2 linked regions of the Neurospora crassa OR74A genome follow. The protein of the gene in region 1 interacts with the protein of each later gene in a pairwise test. Links are inferred from orthologs where the notes say so. Each region holds a gene or a part of one and is shown in the gene's direction. Other genes may lie near its edges. The genes, in order: rpn-1 and NCU04274.

Evidence for each region.
Region 2: the proteins of rpn-1 (region 1) and NCU04274 interact in binary tests that used the Schizosaccharomyces pombe proteins (3 or more experiments, as listed by UniProt). The link is inferred for Neurospora crassa OR74A from reciprocal best matches to the Schizosaccharomyces pombe genes mts4 and cut8.

Annotation. Positions count from the first base shown.
Region 1 is NC_026504.1:2,086,460-2,090,700, forward strand, and holds the start of rpn-1 (26S proteasome regulatory subunit rpn1), read left to right. Parts: upstream 1-1,441; 5' UTR 1,442-1,824; coding exon 1,825-1,954; intron 1,955-2,026; coding exon 2,027-2,097; intron 2,098-2,163; coding exon 2,164-4,241. Other genes in the region: rbg-40 (serine/threonine-protein kinase RIO2), read right to left, coding at 1-981. UniProt on the Schizosaccharomyces pombe protein: Acts as a regulatory subunit of the 26 proteasome which is involved in the ATP-dependent degradation of ubiquitinated proteins.
Region 2 is NC_026505.1:5,458,698-5,465,868, forward strand, and holds NCU04274 (nuclear envelope protein Cut8), read left to right. Parts: upstream 1-2,973; 5' UTR 2,974-3,586; coding exon 3,587-3,665; intron 3,666-3,764; coding exon 3,765-4,600; 3' UTR 4,601-5,252; downstream 5,253-7,171. Other genes in the region: NCU04273 (RNA-binding protein), read right to left, coding at 1-609; double strand break repair protein mus-11, read left to right, coding at 5,725-5,891, 5,980-6,656, 6,708-7,171. UniProt on the Schizosaccharomyces pombe protein: Together with nucleoporin alm1, tethers the proteasome to the nuclear envelope. Involved in ubiquitin-mediated protein degradation and facilitates the degradation of nuclear proteins like mitotic cyclin and cut2. Required for normal progression of anaphase.

The DNA of each region.
Region 1 (4,241 bases):
CACAGTGGCGTCCAACCGCTTAGCTCCATCCTTGCCAACCGTCTTCTTAGCATCCTTGAAGAAAGGACCGGGTTGTGTGGGCACAAAGTGGAAGCGCTTCTTGAAGAACCTCTTGATGCATTCGACATCGCGGTCAAAGTACATCTCGGCGTTTACGTGGTCCATAGACACCATTTGTGGGAAGTCGATAATGACTGGGACAAGGGTTACCGTCTCCGTCTCCTTCTCCTCGCCGTCCTCGATCGTGTACTTGGTGGTCCGCTCCTCTTTGATCAAAATGTTGAACTCGTTGAAATCACCATGGATGAGCCCGTGCTTGGCCAATCGAAGGATGAGGTCGATAAGCTCAGCGTAGAGGCTCGCGGGGTCTGGAACCGAGGAGACCTGTCTAAGTGGTAGGGACTCGACCAGGCTCATGACGATAGTGTGTCGGGACTGGGAAATCGGTTCGGGAACGGGAAAGCCTTCTTCTTGGAGAGCCTGCATGAAGGCATATTCCTTCATGGCCGCAAGCCGCGAGAGATACATCCATGAGCCGCCTTGCCGGTTGCGCAAGTAGTCGCGGTTGGACTTGACGGTACGGAAGGAAATGCGGCCTAGGCGATGGATCTTGAGAATCTTCTGCTTGCCGGTCTTGTCGGCTACGATCATGATGTCGGATTCCTTGCCAACACCCACACGACTGCCAACGCTGTAGACGACATCTTTCGAGGAGTGGGTGTGTAGGGCCAGATAGTCAAGACCGCCGTAGGTCAGTCGGTAGCCGTCGTACTTGGCCTCCTTCATGCGTCCGATGAGGCCAGACTTGGCAAGGGTCGCTATGCTCTTGTGAACACCACTGGCACCGCCCTTGAGACGGGCAATTCTCTCGATCAGAGGGGTCGGGACGAGCTCGTGGTTCTTGCTGCCCATCTCAACGGCAGTCAAGACTCTCCAGTCTTCTGCCGTGAGATGGCGTAAAACTCTGGTGTCCAAAAACATGATTGTGTGTTTCTTTTTGGATGTTTTTTGTTTTTTCCCCTCAGGTGATTGTCGGCCTAATTGCTGTGAGAGATTTTCTGATGTTGTATTGATCCAAGAGAGCTATTAGGTTGCTGTCTACGACGCTCTCGTCAAAGTCAAAGTCAAGGTGGGTGAAGCGCAAAGCTGATGTCCAGAATGGAAAGTGGGCGTCCCCCAAATTCCAAATGCACGGTTGCGATAACATCTTCCCGATAAGATAGGGCTGGCCGTGGGCTCCATTCGCTGAGCTGTGCCTGCCCGGTCAAGCGCCAGGTCCAGGCCAGTAGCTTATCTTATCAGAAGCTTGGGGGGAGCGGAATTTGTATCTTCCAGGCTCTGATGACGCCTCGTCCCCACCGAGGCTTCCAGACCCACTTGAGGCGGGCAGCATTGGATCGCAGGGGCGTTCTCAGCCAGACGGGGGAGCTTCAGGCGGCAAGCGAGTCGCGTAACCACCATCGGAGCTCCCTGGCGTTAGTACCGTAACTGCCACTGACCTTTGCTGGCTTTCAGCAACTGAGGTGCTTCTGGGCGAACCTGCAAAAGCTCCAACCTCCAAAACCGTCACCTGAACAACATAACAACCTCCAAACAACCGCAGCCAGCTCATCCACTTTTGATTTTGACATTCTGCTCACGACTGGAGCTCAAGTTCCTGTCGCTCAAGCAAACTCGGTGACAAAACTTGAACATTTCTTGCAGCAGCGAACGCCACCGCCGCGTCCACCTACCCCGGCCAGCCCAACCGACCTTGGTTTCCCCTCCAACTGGACCCATCGGCTCCGCGAATCCTCCCACCTACAACCATCACGGCCAGTAATCATGGCGCAAGAAAGCGACCTGTCCAAGACGGCCGATAAGGGCAAGGGAAAGGCCGTCGATGACGAGAAGAAGCACCAAGATGTCGATGGAAAGACCCCCGCAAACGGAAAGAAGGAGGAGGAACAGAATGGTGGGTTTCTCGGCCACTCCGACCGACTTGAGGTATCGGCGCCGGGCTTCTGCTGACAGCGCTTTGCGTTAGCTTCCGAGGAACTCAGTGAAGAGGATCAGCAGCTCAAGAGCGAGCTTGAGATGCTCGTTGAGCGGCTAACGGTTGGTGCTTCGCAATGACGTGATACAGGCTGAAGACCGGCTTCTCTAACAGTACAATGTCTTCAGGAATCCGATGCGACCCTCTACAAGCCGGCCCTCGAGGCCATGAAGAACTCTATCAAGACATCCACATCCTCCATGACGGCGGTACCGAAGCCGCTCAAGTTCCTGCGCCCGCATTATGAAACCATGACGAAACTCTACGACGAGTGGCCCGCTGGCGATGATAAGTCATCTCTCGCAGATGTTCTATCGGTGATCGGTATGACATACTCGGACGAGGACCGCCAGGATACTCTGAAATACAGACTTCTTTCCCCAACACAGGACATTGGCTCGTGGGGTCATGAGTACGTTCGCCATCTCGCCCTCGAGATTGGCGAGGTCTACGCCAAGCGCATAGCCAATGATGAGCCGACTCAAGAGCTGGTCGATCTTGCCCTGGTTCTGGTGCCGCTCTTCCTCAAGAGCAACGCTGAAGCCGATGCCGTCGATCTGATGAGTGAGCTCGAGATCATCGAGGAGCTTCCCAAGTTTCTCGACGAGAACACCTATTCGAGAGTCTGCCTGTACATGGTCTCCATGGTCAACCTCCTAACCTATCCTGACAACGAGACGTTCCTTCGCGTGGCGCACAGCATCTACAAGAAATACAACCAGCACACCCAAGCCATGGTGCTTGCGATTAGACTCAACGATCTTGGACTCATCGAGAAAGATTTCGAGGCGGCGGACGAGGATCCTGCGCTTCGCAAGCAGCTCGCTTTCCTTATCGCGCGCCAGGGCATTCCATTGGAGTTTGAAAGGAGCAATGATGACGACGAAAAGATCTACGAGTGCCTTTCCAACCAGAAGCTGTCGGAGTATTTCAAGTCGCTCGGGAAGGAACTCAACATCTTGGAGCCAAAAACGACTGAGGATATTTACAAGAGCCACCTCGAAAGCAGCCGTGTTGCTGGTATGACCAACTTTGATTCTGCCCGACACAATCTTGCCGCCGGCTTCGTCAACGCTTTTGTCAATGCCGGCTTTGGGAGTGACAAGATGATGCTCGTTGGTAAAGACAAGGACAGCTGGGTGTGGAAGACCAAGGATGAGGGTATGATGTCTACAGTGGCGTCGCTGGGAACCCTGCTCCTTTGGGACGTCGAGAACGGTCTTGACCACGTCGACAAGTATACTTATCTCGAGGAGGAGCAAATCCAAGCTGGCGCATACCTCGCGATCGGTATCATGAATACTAACGTTAGGACGGACTCCGAGCCCGCGATGGCCCTGTTGGCTGATCCCGACAAGCTTGCGCACAAGAACCCGCTCATCCGCGTAGCTACCATTATGGGTCTCGGACTGGCATACGCAGGGTCCTGCAAGGAGGAGCTTCTCTCGTTCTTGGTCAACATTATCAGCGACCCTGAGGAGAGCATGCAGGTGTCGGCTATGGCTGCCCTGGCCTGCGGTATGATCTTTGTCGGCTCCTCCAATTCCGAAGTCAGCGAGGCCATCGTGACTACCTTGTTGGACGAAGAAAGTGGAAGCCGCCTCAATGACAAATGGTCCAGGTTCCTTGCGCTTGGCTTGGGTCTCCTCTATTTTGGTCGCCAGGAACAGGTGGACGTTATTCTTGAGACGTTGAAGGCGGTTGAGCACCCTATGGCGAAGCCAACTGCTGTTCTTGCTGAGATTTGCGCCTGGGCTGGCACCGGTGCCGTCCTCAAGATTCAGGAGCTCCTTCACATTTGCAACGAGCACATTGAGGATGGAGAGGAGAAGAAGGGCGAGGAGTTGCTTCAGGCCTATGCCGTTCTGGGTATTGGCTTGATTGCCATGGGCGAAGATGTTGGACAGGAAATGGTTCTCCGCCATTTTGGTCACCTTATGCACTACGGCGAAGCTAACATCCGACGAGCGGTGCCGCTGGCTATGGGTCTTATCAGCCCCAGCAACCCTCAAATGAAGGTTTACGACACTCTGTCACGGTACAGCCACGACAATGACAATGAAGTGGCCATCAACGCCATTTTTGCTATGGGTCTCCTGGGTGCCGGTACGAACAACGCTAGACTTGCCCAGCTGCTCCGTCAGCTGGCTAGCTACTATCACAGAGATCAGGAGTCTTTGTTCATGGTCCGTATCGCACAAGGTCT
Region 2 (7,171 bases), on another chromosome or scaffold:
CTTGGCCGTGGGCATGTGCACGCGCGTGATGGACTCGGGCGTGATGGAGCCGCCGCTGTTGTCGACGAGCCATTGCTTCAGTTCGCTCTTGGTGACGGTGAAGCGCAGGTTGCCGATCCAGACGCCGTGGGGGGACCGTTCCTTCTTTTCCTTCTTCTTTTTCTTGTCCTTGTCGCCGTCCTTTCCGGTGGCGGTTTCGTTATCCGAGTTGTCGTCGGAGTCATCACCCTTGTCGGAGGAGGGCTTGGTAGGGAGGGTCTTGCCCTTCTTGAGCAGACGCTTGGCTTTCTTGGAGGGAGGCTCGGGGGCGGTGACGTCGATTTCGATTTCGGTGAGCTCGGCCTTGCGCTTCTTGGAAGATTTCTTGGGTTTCTCATCGGAGGAGGCGGCGGCGGCATCGGCATCGGCGGTGGTGTCCATGGTGTCGACAGTCTCGGCGGACTCGGCAGGCTCCTCTGTGGCCTTGCGCTTCTTGGAGGATTTATCCTTCTTCTCCTTCTTTTCTTTCTTAGACTTCTTCTCGGAAACGAAATCGGCGGTGGTGTCCATGGCGTCGACGGGAGCGGAGTCCTGCGCGGAGGCGGTTTCGAGGTCTTTTGTTGCTGCCATTCTGGCTGGCTTTAGCGTATCGATCGAGATGGTGTCAATAGGCAAGGGAAGAAAAGTGTTGGAAATAGCAATAAAATCAAGGGTGTTGATTCCTCGAATTTGCAATGTCTACAGAAGGAGGACAGCCGCGCATGGACGCTGAGATTCCCCAATTGCTGGCAGCACAAGATTTTGGAAAATTTACTTTGCGATAAGCGAAGCGATAAGGAAGGGGTCACTGTTCCTCGCTCCAGTTGCGGGTCCGGAGCTTGGCTTGGTCGGGTCTCCATCGCGCAAAATGCGGGGGAGCGGGCGGGACCTACCTTTCAACCTCCACTTTCGGGTTCTCCACTCATACCCCTCTGAATCTCGTGCCAAATTTGCAAAGAGCCGCCATCTTTTCAGATCTCCCGCCGTCATTTCATGATGGGACTTGCCCTTTGCATGATTGCCCCCTTTTTAATGCGATGTCTATGGGCCCTATCTTATAGTGTCAAACGTGTCTTGCTCCGATGACAGGTCTTGAAGTGCAGCCGTACTTGGGTCGGCAAGGTAGGTACGAGACCAGCGTGCAGAATTTCGGTACTCATCAACTGGAGTATGGTACAGTACACGTACTTTTGTACATTGGTCACAAATGGATGGAATATTTCCCCGACAATGACAGCCCACAGCACCACGCAATGGGCCAAATGTAGCCACGAGCACAAGTCGATGATGCCAATATGCTGACTTGGCCCCTCTTCCACTTGATCAATGCCAGGATGTCCCTTGCCATGAATAATAGCTCACGGTGTAGAGTACCTGTAGTAGACACGTCTGCCAAACTCATCTATATTGAGCAGAGTACTTGTTGGGTTCTTGAAAGACGGTTGGACATATTACTTTGCAGGGAGTCTCTTAAGTCCACATAGCAACCCTGAGCTATACAAAGCTGGACAGTCACTTCCGATGGGAAGCAGAAGCCCCATTCAACTCCAGGTCAGTCACTCCCAATGAAAGGGTATCAGATCCTTCGGAAGTTGTTCCAGAGTGATGGCCATTAAAGTCCCGCAGAATCGAAACGGAAACGACATGAGCGTGTTGCTGACGTTGCTCGAATCAACCCCCCGAAGCTTTGATCTGGATCGAGCGAATCGTCAAGGGAGCTGATCGGGTGGGCAGGTGGGCCACGCGGCCTCAATGTCGGTCCATCATCTCGCCAAGCGCAAGGGCCAGGAACAGAGGCAGCGTTGGCAAACGCCTGTCTAAAACACCCACTGCAGGCCGAGAGGATGCGGAAAAGCCAACAATGGGTTTTCCAAGGTCCTTGGTGCTGGCCGTACCGTGGTTGGTAGCGCTGTACACTGCATACCGTTGACGGCCTGTCGCGGTCGCTTCAACAAAGTCTCATCGTTTTGCGTTTGATGACCGGAAAAGTGGAGGTAATTGGTACCCGAAACCATCTTTTTGGGGCCTCACGTGCCGAGAACCACCGATAGGGCTTGGCGAGATCTGGCGGCCTTGAAAAGAAGAAAAAAAAAAGACCGACAAAAGGTCCTCAAAGACTCCACCGGTCCACGTCGTACGTGTACACTACTTTTTTCCTCGGAAATGTCCTCAGAAGGACACAATTCATTGGCAGCTAGTCTGAACAGACTCTGGAGCTTCTCTCTTACCACATACATACTACTGACGCCTCATTGCTTGGGCTTGCAGGCCGGCTTGTCTTGACCGCTTGAGATCTTTCAAATGGTTCGTCGTCTCGGAGTTTGATGCATGCATGCACTTAAACATTCTGGTAGGGGTCTACGAAGTAGTGTACCAACCACAATCGGTTGTGTCAGGGGACTAGTACTTGATACGGTTAGTGTAGCCAAAGGCCAAACAGCTAATAGCCTCTCCCGGTTAGCCACCATGTTTGGCCACATGGACTCCCTCGACAAAACCGGCCCTGGGCCAGCTGTGGTGAGTGGACCGGTCCATGAAAACCGACATCCACTCTTTTTGTTTTGCCCGTCGCCGCCCTTGCTATGTACTTAGGTAAATGTTCCTTGCAAATGCAAAGGGTCGCTGCTTGCTGGTGGTGCTGGTGCTGGTGCTGCTCCTCCTCCCTTCCGATACACACCACTGGTTGACAGTCCCGACATCACCAATCGGCGTAAAAGCTGCTCAGACCTTGAAGAGGCCCAGCCAACCGTTGTTCCCGCTGGCAGACACTGGCCTCCGCAGGACACCACCTGGACACCACACACATCACACGTTGACTGGTCACTCATCACCACTGCTTGCCAGGACCGGGACGCCAGTGAGAACCAGGGAATGAGCCACTGGGAGGCTCAAGCGAAGGTCAAGCGGATGCGCTCTTGTTGTTGGCCTTGGTTGGTTGCTTTTGGCTTCTCCGCTGGCTGCATTGAGAGGGAGCACCTTTTCCCTCTGCGCATTCCTCCTCCACTCACAGTCCTTCATTCGTCGCAATCCCGTCGCAAATCCGTGCAACGTTCAGTTGTGGTGCAGAGAGAAAAAGGAAAAGGCTCCTCACTTTCGGTCGCTTCTTCAGAGCCAAGAACGTCCAAGTGAAAAAAAAAAAAAAACTCCACCAGCCATTGGCATCGCACTGTGAACTCACTGGAAAAGCAGTCCAAGTACTTACTAGTCTGACTGCGCGGGCCCTGCCTGCCACTCGCAAGAGTTCGCTCCATTCAGTTCTTCTCACTCGCCATCCTGCGCTTCCCTTGACCTGCTTCCACCCTTCCTTTCATTTCTACTAGTCTTTCTTCTCTTCCTTGACTCGCATTTCTGCGTTGCGACTCGCAACACTTGCAACTCAAAAAATTAAAATAAAAGCGAGCGGTCTGACGCCGGCTGCTCCCTCTCACTTTTTTTCCGCCTCAGATCGCCTGGCTTCTTCCACCGCCGTCGACCCGTCATCCATCCACATCGTCGTCGTTCTCCTATTTGCGTCGGCAGCGCCACGCAACGCTATACCGCCAAAACGAGCATTGTTCTCAATCCCACAATGAACGTGCTCCTATCGCCGCAGCCGCCCTTCTTCCCTCACCAACACGAACCCTCTCGCCGCTCGCCGCCTAGAATAAGTAGGTTGTTGCTGCCGATCATTGTATCCCAGCGTGCATCCAGCACTGCTGGTACAAAATCTAAAGTTCACTGCAGGCTTACTAACATCTTTTTGCCAGTGTCGCAACACACCATGGCGTCCAGGAAAAGAAAAGCAGACGACGATGACAACGAAATGTCGATATCGCCGACCGGCTCGCCCGCAATCAACTCGCGGCAGCTCTCGAGGCCATCCAAGAAGGTCAGGGCTGGAATCGAACTTGCAGGACGTCCGCTGCCTCTTCCTCGCCTACTCGAAACTCTGGACAAGTCACAGTTGCGAGCTGTCCTCCAGACGATTTGCGAGCGTCATCCGGGCATTGGACATGAGGTGATGGTGTCTGCACCGCGACCGTCAGTCAACGGAGCCCTCGAGGTTTTGGGCGAATATCAGGACAAGCTACGGGCCGCCATTCCGTTCGGCAACTCGAGTTCCGAATACACCTACTTCCGAGTCAAGCAGCCGCTCATGGCGTTGGTGGATGCTCTCGGCGACTTCACCCCCCAGTTCCTGCCGCCGGTTGAGCAACAGGCGACCGTGTCGTTGGAGTACCTGAACCATGCAACAAAGATCGTTCACGACCTACCCGATTTCGACAGCCAGCAGTATCGCCACCACAAGGACGGAGCGTACGACGAGATATCCAGAGCTTGGGCGTTGGTGATCACGGAAGCGGCCAAGCGCGGAGGAGGCTTCCACCTGCACAACGGAAAGTGGGATCAGGTCCTGGCTAAGCACAACCAGCAGTCTGGAGGAAAGCTAGAGCAGGCCATGAACGCAATGGTCAACGAGGTTGGATGGGTCGGCGCGAACTCGAATGCCCATGGGCAGGGTTCTTCTTCGGACCCCAACTCGATACTCAACCAGCTCATCAACGGCACATATGGCGCACCTGTCCAAGTTGGTCCCTTCTAGAACAGGCGACGGCATGAACATGCAAGTGCGCCATGACTTTGGAATTTATACGGATACTCATGGGACTGGGAGGATAAGCAAAGCGGACATTCAGGTCGATTGCATCATGGTTTCTTTTGTCGTTCACTTTTTCAACATTCAGGGCATTGTTTGGGGCGAATGGGGAAGGATGACATAGACAGGCGTGGGTTACTTGCGGGGATCATTGTTTTCAAGGCGTTGGCGTGTTGGCTTCCTGAATGCTGTTGTTTCTTGCCTTCATTGTTGTCTTTCTGGCCACATCTCACTGGCACAAGATACCTCTTTCCTACCGGCTGTCTCTCGTTCTAGGGGAACGACTTGTTCGTCACTTGCATGTACGCAATCTTTAGCATATTCTTTCCGAGGTCGGAAGTGGAGCATGTGTGTAACCAACCATCACTACCATATTCATTCCACCATAGCCACGCAATTGGTAAAACGAAGTCTCGGATAACACAGTGTGCCTGGCGGGTGATTTGGTGTAGATACCCGTACACCCGCAACATGTCCCGGGTTCATTGGGTGTATCCCGAGGTGAATTTAGCGGTTTGTTGGGATCAATCAAACTCGACTTGCATCTTCATTGATTCTGTGATCCAAGCAAGCCGTTTCCAACAATGAAGTTGGAAGTGTCCGGATAATGACCGGAGTCCAAACGCGAAATCCAGATGATCATATCTGCCCTTGAAGCACCATCTTGTTCACAGAGACCAAAGCAACACTACTGCCTCTCGCAATGAAGTCCCTTGCATATTTGCTCCTACACGGACAGTGGCGGCTCCCTTTAGAACCACGTACAACGAGTTGAGATATGGAATGGCCATCATGGAATGAATTACACTACACTAGATATGGAGGCATGACTAAGCTCGACGGATCGTGAATGGACAACTGAAGTGGAGTTCCCTCCGACTGTGTGACGGGATGACAACCTAGAGAAAGGCCTAAAAGTTGGTGAGGTCACCACCTAGAGGCTAGAGCCCCACCGGTCAGGGGCGGGTGTTAGGCAGACGCCACCAGCGCCCCACGTGATAACGCACTCCGAGCGCGCCTGCCCAATCTACACAGCGCGTCTTGTCGTTCTTGCCTTGATCCATCACTGCATGCTTCGCGACGTTTGCTTTAGGAAAGTCACAAATATTTTTTTTGAAAAAAGAAAAAAAAACTCTCCCCTTCAAGACGTTAATCCCATTCCTTCCTGCTGGGATACCACTGCGAACGACTCGCAAACCACCAGCCTTGAGGCTGCTCTGCTAGACAAGATGCCTGCGTATGTTTACCTCTGCTATCGACGACGTGTGTCAACCGCGTCTCCCGCGGCCTTCCAGTAACCGAGACCCTCATTAACACTTCAACAGAGTCGGCGACCAACACAAACTCATCGCCAACCCGTTCGAGGAGCCACAACGGCGAATCAGCGAATACACAGCCCAAGAGATCGCCACACTACAGAGCCGTCTCGAGAAACAACTAGGACCCGAGTACCTGTCGAGCCGCGCCGGCCCATCAGGCCAAAAAGTCCACTACATCTCGTCAGAAAAATGCATCCAACTTGCGAACGAGGTCTTCGGCTTCAACGGCTGGTCCTCCAGCATCCAGAATATTCAGGTTGATTTTGTCGATGAGCATCCTCAAACGCTGAAAATCAACATGGGCATTTCGGTTATTATGCGAGTCACTCTACGCGACGGAACGTATCACGAGGATCTTGGCTACGGCCATATCGAGAACTGTAAGGGCAAGGCGGCTGCTTTTGAGAAGGCCAAGAAGGAAGCCACGACGGATGCATTGAAGCGCGCGCTGCGCCAATTTGGCAACGTGCTGGGCAACTGTATCTACGACAAGCAATACTTGGCCAAGGTCACCAAGATGAAGGTCGAGCCGACCAAGTTCGCGGAGGACAACCTACATCGGCACTCAGATTTCGTCAAGAAGGAGCCGGTTGAGGCAGATATCATGAAGGTTGACTCAGTTGGGGCTGGCGCCCGTCCACCAGCCTTGGGAAACGAGGAGTCTTTTGAGGATTTGCTCGGAGGTAAGGCCACTTGTGCACTATTTTTGGGTGGGCTCGGCTGATGATGACTAGAACTCGATGAGGCCGATTTCAACATGGCCGATGAGGGCCATCCAGATGAAGTCGTGCTACCACAAGCCGTGCACAATAGCTTGAACGACAAGCCTGTACATCAGCAACTGACCAATCTCAACCCACAAGCACAACAATCACGACCTCTGTCGCGGTCAGGGTCAACAGGCAGCCTGAATACCCGGCAGCAACCACAGAATTCCCACCAATTCACGGCGAGGGCCCAAAGTCGGCCTCCACAACAGCAGCTTAACAGCAACCAAAGTCGTCCTATGGGTCAACCGGTCAACAATTCCAGCAACGCAAACACTCCCAACAACCCCCAGAACTACACAACACCACAGAAGCCTGCTCCTGCCGCTCCTGCTCCCCAAGCAGGTGCAGCTGTAGCTCCCGCACCAGAAACCGTTGGCTTCTTCTCCGCTAAAGCTGTGACCCAACTTCCGGAGGAGGCATTGGCTAGT